2 linked regions of the Caenorhabditis elegans genome follow. The protein of the gene in region 2 interacts with the protein of the main gene of each other region in a pairwise test. Each region holds a gene or a part of one and is shown on either strand. Other genes may lie near its edges.

Region 1 (5,183 bases), on a different chromosome or scaffold from region 2:
TTCTTTGGATTTGGTTGAAGGCACCTAATTCAGATTCTCTGGATTAATTGTTCCTAAAAAATATTTTTGAGATCCTGAATCAATTTTGCAACTACATCTCAATGTACGCACCACCCAATCTGAAAATGATATCATCGGCGTTCAATTTGCTAGAACTTGGAAACTCAGCTCATGAAGTGAAAAGGGTTTTACTGAAAGCGGTAATCTAAATATTCCATCAAAAAATATAACTAAATGAAATTTTTATAGCGTCGTCGTGAAGAATCAGAAGAATCAGATGTTTCATTTTCCAAAAAGCCACGTCCTTCTTCTAGATCTCCTGCATCTCCAAATCGAGATGATCTATTGTTGGGACTCGATCGTTCTCCGCCCAGCGATGATGGAACTCAGAAAGTTTGAAATTGAAATTGATGAATATGAAACACACTTTTATTATATTTAAGCACTTACCTCGGTTTTGGATGATTTCAAACGTTTTTCTACTGATGCTCCACTTTTAATTCAGTTCTCAATTTCTACAGATTTATTATTATTATTATATCAATATTAAGCAAACCAGTAAGCTCGAAATACAACATGCAGAGGACGGATGAATTCTGACCATTTTACAATTAAAAAGCGAAACATATGAAAAGAATATAGTGCACAATTAAAAAAAGAAGTGAAAGAGACCTAAAGCCGAGTACAGTACTTTTTTGTTGATATACGCCTAGTGACTTCATCAATACTGACAAATGATCGAGTGGGGAATCTAATTAAACAACAAGTTTAGAGCTTCGTAGCCATTATGAACATGACACCTTCTCCGTCCAAAACGTATTTCTTTGCATTGGCAACATCAAGACCAACAGATACAAGAGCATCAAGAATCATCTGTTCACTGAGATTGAGGAGATGGAAGATTGTCTGTAAATTTTGATTTTTTTTGTTGGCATATACATACGAGTATTTTGGCTACGAATTTTAATGCAGGTCTATTTATACAGTTGGGTCTCGCCGCGCGAAAAAACAATCATATGTTTTTTTTTTAAATTTTGTACAAAGTTTGGAAATATGCTAAGAGCGGGTAAAAGTAAGAGGAAGTAAAAAGAAAAACAAGAAACATCCTCGAGAAAACGGTTTATCGGTTTTTCCTTTAATTTTAAGTACAGTAACATGTTAGTCTTGCGGCCCCACTGCTCCGTTTTCGAAGTTAATGTATCGCTTAAACGTCTAATATTTCAGAAAAAAAAAATACTAGCACTGTTTCAAAAAGATATGTTCTATCACAAGTCTGAATTTGTATCCTTCAATCCTCATTCCCATCGCCTAAAACCAATAAAACTTCTCTAGCTATCATATATACCTGCATCATTGACGCAATCACACAAACTGACCCCGTTAAAATCGCAAGAGCACAGATCAAATTACCAGATCAATTGGCCCTTTCCTACCTTTCTTCCCGAGTTGTACTCATCGTCCTCGAGCACCGAACCAAGCACAAAACGACCGCCGGAACGGAGATGTCTCATCTGGAATCACACAAAATCAAAACACATTTTGATTTCACTTTTTCTCATTTCAAACTATCAAATCTGGTGCCATTCAGTCGTTGGCTCATTCTCATTTCTTTTTTTTCCGAAAAACGACACACTTTACATCTTGGAAAAGATGAAAGACATCTGTTTCTAAACTCTTTTTTTTTTCATTTTCTTCGTTGGCACCGTGAAAATTGGATATAAGATAGACAGAGAAATAGAGAACGGGTGTAAAGGGGAAGTGAACACTGATTGTGAAGAGATATAGGAATATGAAAAGAAAGTTATGACGAAGTTGTTACTGGAGAATAAAATAGATCGAATTACACTTACAATAACTCTTTGAGCTAGTAGTTTACTGTAGTTTACAATTTTATTGTTCTCTATTCGAAAGAAATTCGTGTTTTGAACTTAGAAATGGAGAAAAAGAAATGTGAACCAAGATCTATCTTCAGTACTGGGATTTCAGAAACTATTTTAGAAGAGACGTGTAAAATAACCTTAATGGCATAATCAAGCTCCTAAAACGAACGATATGCTTAAGCCTAAGCCTAAACCGCAAAAATCCATTTAGACTTACCATATTAGTGACACATTTACAATACTCTTCATAGTTGCGACAAGCACTTTCTAACGTGAAGATCGACACCAGGATATCCACCTTCTTCCCAGCCAATTCAGGGACCACATCCATCTGGTGAACATCTGCGAAATGAATTCCACCAGACTTGACCAATCCGCGGGCTTTTTCTTCAACATCAATGCATACTTGATCTGTTGGAGTGGGACCTCCTTCCGTTCGGTTGATCACTTTGATAGTTGGCACCCAGTCAATAGTCTCCTCGTGGCGGATCCATTTTCTCAGAACGTCAAGGTTCCGATCGACAAAATCTGATAAGTGAACACGCTTTGCCACATCACGGAAACAAAGAGCCGAATAGACGGTTGGTCCTGCTCCAATATCCAGAAGAGTTTCACGTTCAGAAGGTCGCATAGTTTGGAGCATAAGTTGGGCGAAGACAGGAAGTGCGAATAGGGAAACACGGGTTCCATCTTCAATAGCATCTCTGGAAATGAGAAATGAAATTTTGGATATATATGGAATGTCTGATGTTTATACTCTCTCCCTTGGATTGTTCGTTCCTTGTCAGACAGGTACTTGACTTGATAGCACCCAAAAATGTGTCGTCTCATTTTCAAAAGTTTAGAGTCTAAGAGCCAATGATGCCTCCCTCCTCTTTTCTCAGTTTTTTCGATCTCTTGACACAAAAGATCCTCTCCTACTCAAAAAGAGAAAAAGGTAACCGATCTGCGACCGATTTCGTGTGCAGCAGCAACAGGAGCAAAGCCAAAGCAAGCCGGGGATAAGAGGTTTTGTTTGTGAACAAACCACTCGTTTTTGTGTCAAAAATGAAGTGAACGGTATCGAGAGCGGATAGAAAGTGCAAATCGGGATCGAAAGTTCTAGAAATTGAAGCCCGTTATTTATGAAAAATGTTTCTTCCAAGTTTTGTGGCGGCAACCTCGCGCGCAAGATTATAACAACCGACATAATACTGGATTCAAAACATTAAAAAATTGCGGCAACCGACATTTTACGGGTTTCATAACCAATTTCTGGAAAATGGTAGCTTGACATGTTTGTTGAAGCAGCCTACATGATAAGGGGCTCAGAAAGTGTTCATTGGTGGGAGGCCGACATCTCATGGGTTACATCGAACGGTCGTTGCGACATATCAAAGATTTCTGACTAACCTGCTGAAATAAAACTGCAAATACTCATCAGGATCGAACTTCTTGACGTAGTCCTCAGGCAAAAGTACAGTATGCTGGGCATCCGATGATTCCGTAATGGTAGGGTCGATGAGAGTAGACATGACGAGGTATAAATAAGAGATTAAACGACACTGAAAATATTTTAATTTTTTTGAGTCCAAATTTTTGAAAAAAAAAATCAGAAATATAACAAGGAAACAAAGCACTTTTAAAAGTCTATGTATATCTCTATTTTCTTCCGCTTTTCACATGTTTGTTTTTCCCTCAAAATCTCCAAAATTCTTAAGTTTACTCCTTTTTTCCAGAAAAACTCTAATATTTAAGTGATAACACCCACGCAGAGTGCAATTAAATATCGATACAACAATTCATTATCATCATCAAATAACAAACAATTAACAAATGAGGCATCGACACTCTCGAAGTAGCACAAAAATTGAGTGAGGTGGCTCTTGCACAGAGAGCGAGAGCATAAGTGTGTGCTCTGGCTCCGCCTATTTTTTCGGAGCTCTGGGAGAGAAGGATAGAGAGAGAGAGAGGGAAGAAGGGATTTCCCGAGGCTCCCGGCAGGAAGTGTTGGGAGCCAGACAGTGGGAGCAGGCACAGAGTACGAAGAGCAAAGTGGAAAGATGGGAAACAACAAATTATGTTATGAGGAAGTTTTTTGGCAGATTGGTTATGAAACTTTGCAGAACTTTAATGCGTTACTGTAAATTTAAGGGAAAGTAGGTTCCATCGAGCGTACTTACGAAAATTGTACTGTAGCTCACTATCAGTACACTGTACTTTCGAAACATTTTTCTGGATTTCATCTTTCTGGAATTTTTGAATTTTCAATATGGAAAAAATGTACTTAAACTTCATTCGAAAATTATATGACTTCAAAGGAATAGGGAGGTTAATCGAAAAGTTACTGAAGTTTTCGAATTTTTGTTGGCCATTTTGCTTACACAAGTGCGCCCCACTTCACACTGATGTCTCTTTTGAAAATATAATAATAAGTCAATCGAAAAATACCGATTGTGTGAATTTTTCTATACTGTCCCTATTCCCCCTTTCATCTCCCCCCATTGACCACTTCTCCCCATCCCCTCCTCCTATTATGCGTAACACCCGGCATGTCTAGGCCACGAAAGTTGTGGTTCGTCGTGCAGTCATGTCCGAGTGGTTAAGGAGATTGACTAGAAATCAATTGGGCTCTGCCCGCGTAGGTTCGAATCCTGCTGACTGCGTTAAATTTTTTTCAATTTTTTCGCACATTTTTTTCGTTGTAACTTCGAAATTGTACAAAATGAAAATATACTTGATAATAAACCAAAACGTGCAGTCATGTCCGAGTGGTTAAGAATGTCCGAGTGGTTAAGGAGTTTGACTCGAAATCAAATGGGCTCTGTCCGCGTAGGTTCGAATCCTGCTGACTGCGAATCTTTTTGAATCTCGTCAGTCGATGTAACTTTTGTATCGAAACCATTTGGAGAAAAACGATGGAGGAGGAAAGGGCGTGTTGACATTATTTTATTTATCGAAAAACTGAAAATTCTTGTTCACACGAGACCAGGCCACATATTTTCACAATGCGTCATATCAGTTGGGGGCATTGAATCATTGTTCTTCAATATTTTTATCAGTTATTCTTCAATGAATGCACCTGGGATTCCATACCTATCATCATTATGAGTGTTGAAATATTGTTTCGTCCTCTCTTCCAATCATCTTCTCTTGTTGTTAGTTCCAATGCCTCTCCTTCCTCTCATATGTTCTAACACTTCTTGTGAGACAGACAGTTGGCATAGAGTTCCTCGACGCAGATACCTATACAGTTACAACACTATTTGCCCTGGGGCGTACTTACATTGATTTTCTTCACTTTTCTTAACTATTTAACATACT
Region 2 (7,718 bases):
AAACTTGCAAATCATGCAAGAAATGAACAAGTTCTTCATCTGGCTCAATGCATCTGCATCAAAATTTTAATGAATGTAATCTCACGTATGTATGGAAAATTGTTTATGCAAATTCGGATGACTAGAAAACATTCAAACAAACGAGAGAGAGAGAGAAAAAAATACAAGTGAAAATAATTTATAGGTCATTGAAATATCAATGTGGGATGGAGGGGGGTCAATTAGGCTTCTCGTGAGTGGAAAAGGGATGGGATGGTGAGAAAAATGAGAATGGCAAGTAAAACCCGTTTTGAATAAGATAAAAATGAGAATGAACATGTCAAAAACTGCTGAAGAACGCCACCTTATGACACAAAACATCATTTAGGTGATTGATGACCTCAAAACGTTGGCGGCGGTCTTTTTTTTTTGGAAAAAAAAATCAAAAGATTTAAAAAAGATTTACAAAACAAATTCTAGTTTTAGATGGCACCAGGAAAATTTCAAGTATGTATCTACACATGAGTTGATGTTCGACTAATTGGTCGGACCACTTCCGGCGACGAGAGGAAGTTGTAGTTGGACGTTTTGGGAGTCTCCACTTCCTGTAGCGTCTCCATAACCGGCAATTTGTCGCTCATCGCCACGCCGTACATATCTGAAACTCCTGAAATGAGAATGAGGATGAGTTATGCACACGGTGTTATTGGTTAGGGTTAGTACCTCCAGGCGTGGAAAGTCCACTGCCAAACGATCCATATGAATGTTCATACCGGTTGTAGATGTATTCATTGGCCGAGTTGTTGAAACATTTTGGATACAGCCCTCCCGGTGGCCCGAATGATCCGGTTGCACCGAGGAAATCCAAATCCGGATTGTTTTGAGGAATCGAGATGTAATCCTGTGAAATAAATTGGTTTTATTCTTTGAATGGTGATATGATATCAGGGGGCTCAAAAAAATTGAAACTATCGTCAAATAATCCCTACGATTTTAAAAATTGATCTGCTATAAACACTAGACTAATACATATATAAACCGAATTTTTCTTCATATTGTCCAACTTTTGACCAACCTTCGTGGAGAGATGAACATTGTCAACGGGGCTGCTACTATACATCTCTGGGAAATATTGTCCATCCAATGCCTCACATTTCACTGTGACGTCAGATTGATCATCTGAAATTGTTGTCAATTTATAGATTCAACCACCTGTTGATAATAACTCACCAATAAACTTTGACTTTCTTGACCGACAATTACTTCTGCACATGCAGAGGCAGCAGAGCAGTGACACCAAAAGAACACCTGCACTTATAATTGCAAGTGCAACCATTCTATCGAACTTTGCTGTTATTACTGAAAGTCGGAAATTGTTATAAATTTTGTTTCCCTTTATTTCTTCGTAAAATCTTAATTTAATCGATACGTGAATTTGATTTGAATTTTTTGGCTTAGAAAAACACTAAACCTTAGCCTAATATGGACAAAAAGGGTCACATGAAAATTTCAAAATGGTTAACATTTTTGGGCCAGGAACTACAGGTAGATACTTTACTACCGCTTCCATGCAGGCACCAAAACGCCTGCACGCCTTGCGGCGACCTCTGCCTGCCTTGCGCCAAGAGCTACGTCTCTTGTATAGTGCGACGCGGGACCCGAAAAGTGTCAGTCACGGCGAAAGAAACACCCATTGCATTATGTGGTGGGAACACCAAGTCTTTGACTTCTCACCATAGTTCTGAAAGGAGGCGTGAGGCCGGACGGTTGGAGGCAGGTGCCAGGCCCTGAAACCGCGCCTGCATCACATGGAAGCCCTATACTCCGCAAGTTTCCAGAAAAGTTAAAACTAACCAATCCAATCTAGAATATTTCTCTTCTTGAGCAGTGTGCCTCTGTTGTCAAATCCTAACCCGTTATTTGCAGAGCAATTATAAACACCAAAGTCTTCTTCTTTCAAATCTTTGATTTTAAGAATACTTTCTTTTCCATATGGCTTGGGATATTGGTGAACCTGAAAAATCTAGTTTTTTTCAGAATTTCTCTTCAAATTCCCTACCGTAATTCTTCCATTATTAAAATTGATCTCTTTCCCATTTACTGTCCATCTAACGTTATTTGTTTTCGGACGGCCGCTAATTTCGCAAATGATCTCCGTTGCTTCATCGAGTGAAGCTGATACTTCATCTTTCATGGAGACCGTTGGTGGGCCTAAACATTTTATGTTAAACTACAAGCGCCTAATTTCAACGAGCGTACCTCTGATATGAAGGTAATGCGATAAAATTTGTTTTCTAAACCCTTCCACTGTAGCCGTACAGTTGTAGTTACCCTGTTGCCATGTTCTCACATTCTCTAACGTCAAGCTGAAATTTATTTTGTTATGATCATACATATTATCCAATGCTAATTTTCCAACATACTTTTCACCGTGCCCAATAATTTCATCGCTGTCTCCACGAGTCCAGAAAATCGCTGGAGCTGGATTTGCCAGAGTTGCACAATGAAAAAATGCATTGTCCCCTTCATTTACTTCTTTATCTTGTGACGTCGACATAATACGTGCACCAACTGTAAGAACTAGGTTTTATATGATTTTATAAATTTGAAAATATAGGTTTGAAAAAAAAACTGGGTGTCTTCTTCTTATGTCTTCTTTTCCAATGAAAAGAGATGAACAACTTACATGCCACATTCAACTTAATCGACCCGCGAGTAGTTCCAATTTCATTTGTAGCTTCACAGAAGATATCTCGATTATGATCCTCCATTTTGAGAGTTTCGAATGTTAGAGTCTGAAATAAAAATAACTGAATAGAGAAATGTTTTTGAATGTCAAATGTGAATGTGACACAATTAATTTTAAGTATAATAAATGGCTCAACAATTTACAATCCGAGCAACACTAATTCCTCTTACATCTCCAGTTTCTCTCAGCTTTTGATTCCCCTTGTACCAGCTGATCTTCACATTATCCAATGGTTTTGCATTAACATTGCATGCTAGAAGAGCTGAGCCATTTTCTCGTAGCGGAAGTTTTGATGCCACTGTTAAGTTGATTTGTGGCGCGTATCGAAGAGAAAGCTTCACAGAATCAACCTCGATCTGGAAGAGAAAATGAATAAAACAAAATATTAAAAAGCAATAAACACGCTTACTTTATTAGGGAACGTCATGTGTTGACTAATACAGATCAAGTATTTGTGGTCATCTTCGGGACGTGGTATGAAACTGAAAAAAGTTTTCGTAATTTTGATTTTTTAATAATTTTTTTTCTAACTGAACGATTTTTGTGTAGCCATTTTTTCATTCATTTCAACTTAAAATGATAATTCAATCGAAACGTGAAATTTATTTGCATGTTTAGGCTTTGAAATACATTAATCCTAAGCTTAATATGAACGGACAAAACGGTCGCGTGAAGTTTTTAAAATGGTTAGTATATTTAGGCCAAGTATACTACACAAGTACCAATCGAAAAATAACATTCTATAAAAATAACACACTTTTTTCAAATTACCGGGGCACTTTTTTATAATTTTTTTTTGAAACATAACAGCAAACTGCTATTCTAGAATTAAAGGATAAATCAATTTTGTGGGTATTTTGCTTGAATTTGCCAAAACGGCCACATTTCTTGATCATTTAGGCCAAGTATACTACACAAGTACCAATCGAAAAATAACATTCTATAAAAATAACACACTTTTTTCAAATTACCGGGGCACTTTTTTATAATTTTTTTTTGAAACATAACAGCAAACTGCTATTCTAGAATTAAAGGATAAATCAATTTTGTGGGTATTTTGCTTGAATTTGCCAAAACGGCCACATTTCTTGATCAGCCATTTCGAAAAACTTCCAAAACATTTTCATTACGGGTCGAAATTTTGGAAAAAAGAGATTTCAGGAAAATTTGGCACTTTTTTTTCGAAATTTTGACACGCCATAAGAAATTTTAAGAAATTTGTCGAGTATTTGTGAGACGTCCCATTATGAAATTCGGTCGTTTTTGGCACGTTTTAGTCTATTTCAGCAGAATACCCGCCAACTCTACTCTCCGCTTTAACTGAAATGTTTCATGTAACCAACCTCAAGTTACTCATAATACTGTAGATACTAGAGTCCTCTCGTGAATTGTTACCGCCCTCTTCAACTTGAGTGGTTTCATTTACATGTGCAATCACGGTTTCTTGAGAGATTTCTGGTTTTGCTGAAATAGGTTTTTTTTGAATTCATTTTCAATATGAAATTTTTTACCATGAATTCCTCCGAATTTTGAGCGCGATTCGCCCAACCATGAAACAATGTGCTTTCCATGCTCATCTGATGCAATTGCCCATCCTATCGTTGGAGGTGGTTTTCCTTTTCGAGATAAACATGATTGAGTTATAGGATCGCCGGCAATTGCTTTCAGAGAATGATGGCTTTTCACAATTTTTGGAGGCGTCGGTCTCACTGAAAAAAAATATTCAAAATTAAATAATGAGCAGCTCAATAACATTTTTCTTTTTATTTTTTCAAATTTCCGAATCTCATTTTCCCGTTTTTTTTTTGTTCAATGTGAACATATTCCACCGCATTCTATGAATAATGACCCCGCAATGAGATTTACAACACAACCTCGTTGCCTCAGTCCTCCCCGGTGGCGGTGTGGTTTCACCAAGAGCAGCTGCCATATCAGAGAACGGAGAATGGTTAGGAGGCAAGAAGTACGCGCGGATGCGTACCCCCTCAACAACCACTTGAGAGATAAATTGGCGCTGGCAGCACGTTTATGAAGACATTAATTGGCAGCCGCCGCGCGAATTGTCGATCTGTCATCTCGAATTTTAAAGCAAGTTCTCATTCTCAGAAAACCGGAGGAGATTGTGTGAATTTGACTTTTTTGAGACGATACAACAACGATGTAATGTTGCAGTTGATTAGTGCAAGTGCTATGTGTTTTTTTAACGTACCTAACACAGTGAGCTTTGCTTTACTCGAAACAACTGCTTTGGCGTGATCGGATTCCGAGATTTGACAAGCGAAATCATCATCATCGAATAGCGTTACATTGGAGATCTGGAAGTTCAATTTGTTTAGCAAAAAAATCTAAGTAGGTACCAAACTCTTAAAATTGTTACAAGAAAACCAATCCTAAGGAGAAATTTTTAGAGTTTTTTTTTCAGACAAAAGAAAACATAGCAATAAAACTCAGGCCTAAAATATAGTTTCAAATTGATGAACTGTAGCCCGTTAAACTCTGAATATTTTGGTTCAAACTATGTTATGGTAGCAGAAAAAATCACGAGGTTCTTTAGAACCGCTCAAACAGTGCTAATGGGCCCAAGTTCTACAGTAAAATTTTAAAAAATTTGTGAAGTTTGTTTTTTGAAATTTCAGTTTAAAAAACAGGTGAACATTTTGTTTTCATCTATTGTAATTTCGGACATCGACCTGCAGCACACCTGCTGCAATGTTCGAAATTTATCAAAAAGGTCATATTTTTTATTAAAATTTACCAAAACGTTGACTCTATATTTGAAAAAATCTGAAACTTTTAGGAATTTCTTTAAATGATATTCTGACGTGTTAAACCAAACCAACTCCTCACAAAAATACATAACAAATTTTCGTACCAAAAAAAACTAACCTCCAGATTATACTCCCCATTTGCCGCACTTCCGACCATCCTGTATCTTTTATTTCCAGGAAGTGGTTTGTCTCTATCCGTTCCGAGCCCAAAGTCATCTTTCATCCACTGTACCGGCCCTTGCTGAAAATTATCATCTTTTAATAATTTTTCATCTTTTTGCCATTCTCGCAAATCGAATTTTTCTAGAACCTGTGGAGCAGGAAATTCAATCAGAAACCGGGAAGTTTCCGAGTTTCTTGACCAGTTGCGCGCACTTCATTTTTTTTTTGCGTGGAAATGTCGAAGGTTTCAAAATTTTGCAAATCACACATCACAACTTACTTGATGTTCAACTCTGCATGTCAATATTGCTGTTTCTCCGACGGCTGCCAATGTATCCTTCGGAGCTTCCACTATTCGTTGTTGTAACTGTTGGCAAGTGACCAGTTGAAACAACAACAACAGTGGCCAGGTCTGCCACCGTACCATCTTTCTGCCTGAAAAGCAATTGTGGTGAACATGGAAATGTGTTTTTGCAAAAAGGAAGGCCGAAAAGAGAGACACGCAATATTGAGAACAGTCATTATTAAAAAAGTATTTAGAGCTTCTAGTAGGAAACTTAACATGTAGATTCTTAACGCACAGCTTTCTGTTCAAAATGTATTTTCAAAATGATTTTCCTATTGTTCTGATGCTCAATCATCGAGAAGAGAAAAAAAAACGATGGAAAGAAAGTTGAGAAGTTGAGAAGCAAAATTTTTGTGGGATAAGAAATGATGATGTGGTCGAGGCGAGACGCAAACACAGGCACACACACACACACGTTTCTCACATTGCAAAAAGTTAGCGCGAGTCAATCTCCCTGCGGACTTAGGCGGTGGTGCGGGTCCCCCCAATGCAGCCTCTCATTAAATATCGTCTAACGGGATGATTGGAGGGAATTGTCGTTAGTAGTAGTTATGTAGGTTCTCATATTGTTTTTTAGTACTTGTGTAGTATGTATACCTGCCCCAAAAATAATTTCCTATGTGTTTTCCATTCATTTCTATGGAAAATGATAATTCAATCAAAACTTACAATTAATTTTCACTTCTTGGCTTAGAAAAACACTAACTCTAAGCCCGATATAAACTAGAAGGCCACCAGATAAGTGCATGTGTAGCACTGACAAAAAGGCACTGACAAAGCACTGACAAAAAGGAACTGACAAAAAGGCACTGACAAAGCACTGACAAAAAGGCACTGCCAAAGCACTGACAAAAGGCACTGACAAAGCACTGACAAAATATTGATAAGACACTCTACTCCACTTCTTGTTCAACTCTGTTCTATTCGTGATATTCTAAATTTAAAATCCGTATAAATTTTGTTAGCGGGTATTTATAGATTACTCGACTTTTTGGAAATCGTAAAGTATATAGTTTTGGTCAGAACAAAATTGGAAAAAAGTGCCTTGCAAAAATTGGGTGCTCACAATAGGCTCCTTAAAAGTTTCCCTGTAATATTATGTTTCCACCATCACATTTAAAAGCAGACTGACCCGAAATATCCCAAAATAATTAAAGAATTTCGCACTGAAACTTCTTCAATATTTCTCGAAAATAATTTATGATGGTTCAGTTAAAAATTTCAAATTTTGGTCCCTTTGGAAATTGACTTTTTTAAATAGTCATTCTTATTCGCATTGTTTGGTAGTTTTTCTCACATTTTTCAGCTAATTATGGTACATTTATGTTACCAAAAATGATAAAATTTGGATTGGAATGTTCCTTAGTTAACAAAATATCTTGAGATAAACTACCAAAAAAGGATGATAATTTAAACAAAAAGGCAATTCCCATGCGTTCCGACATGGAAAAGTTACCAAAATTTGAGATTTTAGAAAAAATCAGGAATTTTTTCTAAGAATTTGTTTTAATTATAGAGAAGTTTTATAGCAAAATTCGTTTATTTGAGCACATTTTGGGTTTATCCCAATAACCGTAACTCCTCCAACCGTGGAAATCTTCTAGAAAAAATGAGACTTTCACAACAAATTTCCAGTTTCCGTTTTCAAAAGAAATTTGTCAATTTTTTGTTACACACATAATCTCTGGGCACCAAAACGAAAAACGAGGTGTCT

Evidence for each region.
Region 1: the proteins of syg-1 (region 2) and anmt-2 interact in a two-hybrid assay, tested with the Caenorhabditis elegans proteins (one large-scale study listed by BioGRID).

The regions. Positions count from the first base shown.
Region 1 is NC_003281.10:6,154,335-6,159,517, forward strand, and holds anmt-2 (Nicotinamide N-methyltransferase), read right to left. Parts: upstream 3,425-5,183; 5' UTR 3,395-3,424; coding exon 3,273-3,394; intron 2,585-3,272; coding exon 2,098-2,584; intron 1,512-2,097; coding exon 1,434-1,511; intron 907-1,433; coding exon 769-906; 3' UTR 510-768; downstream 1-509. Other genes in the region: rotr-1 (Nbl1_Borealin_N domain-containing protein), read left to right, coding at 72-200, 250-399.
Region 2 is NC_003284.9:2,509,225-2,516,942, forward strand, and holds syg-1 (Synaptogenesis protein syg-1), read right to left. Parts: upstream 6,100-7,718; 5' UTR 6,086-6,099; coding exon 5,939-6,085; intron 5,738-5,938; coding exon 5,615-5,737; intron 5,044-5,614; coding exon 4,938-5,043; intron 4,806-4,937; exon of another isoform or gene 4,627-4,805; intron 4,438-4,626; coding exon 4,240-4,437; intron 4,193-4,239; coding exon 4,072-4,192; intron 3,211-4,071; coding exon 3,138-3,210; intron 3,085-3,137; coding exon 2,899-3,084; intron 2,775-2,898; coding exon 2,666-2,774; intron 2,551-2,665; coding exon 2,403-2,550; intron 2,346-2,402; coding exon 2,239-2,345; intron 2,191-2,238; coding exon 2,039-2,190; intron 1,994-2,038; coding exon 1,834-1,993; intron 1,638-1,833; exon of another isoform or gene 1,490-1,637; intron 1,339-1,489; coding exon 1,210-1,338; intron 1,159-1,209; coding exon 1,055-1,158; intron 881-1,054; coding exon 703-880; intron 647-702; coding exon 495-646; 3' UTR 89-494; downstream 1-88. UniProt on the Caenorhabditis elegans protein: Cell adhesion protein. Involved in synapse formation in the HSNL egg-laying motor neuron. Inhibits assembly of the SCF(sel-10) E3 ubiquitin ligase complex at synapses, and protects them from elimination.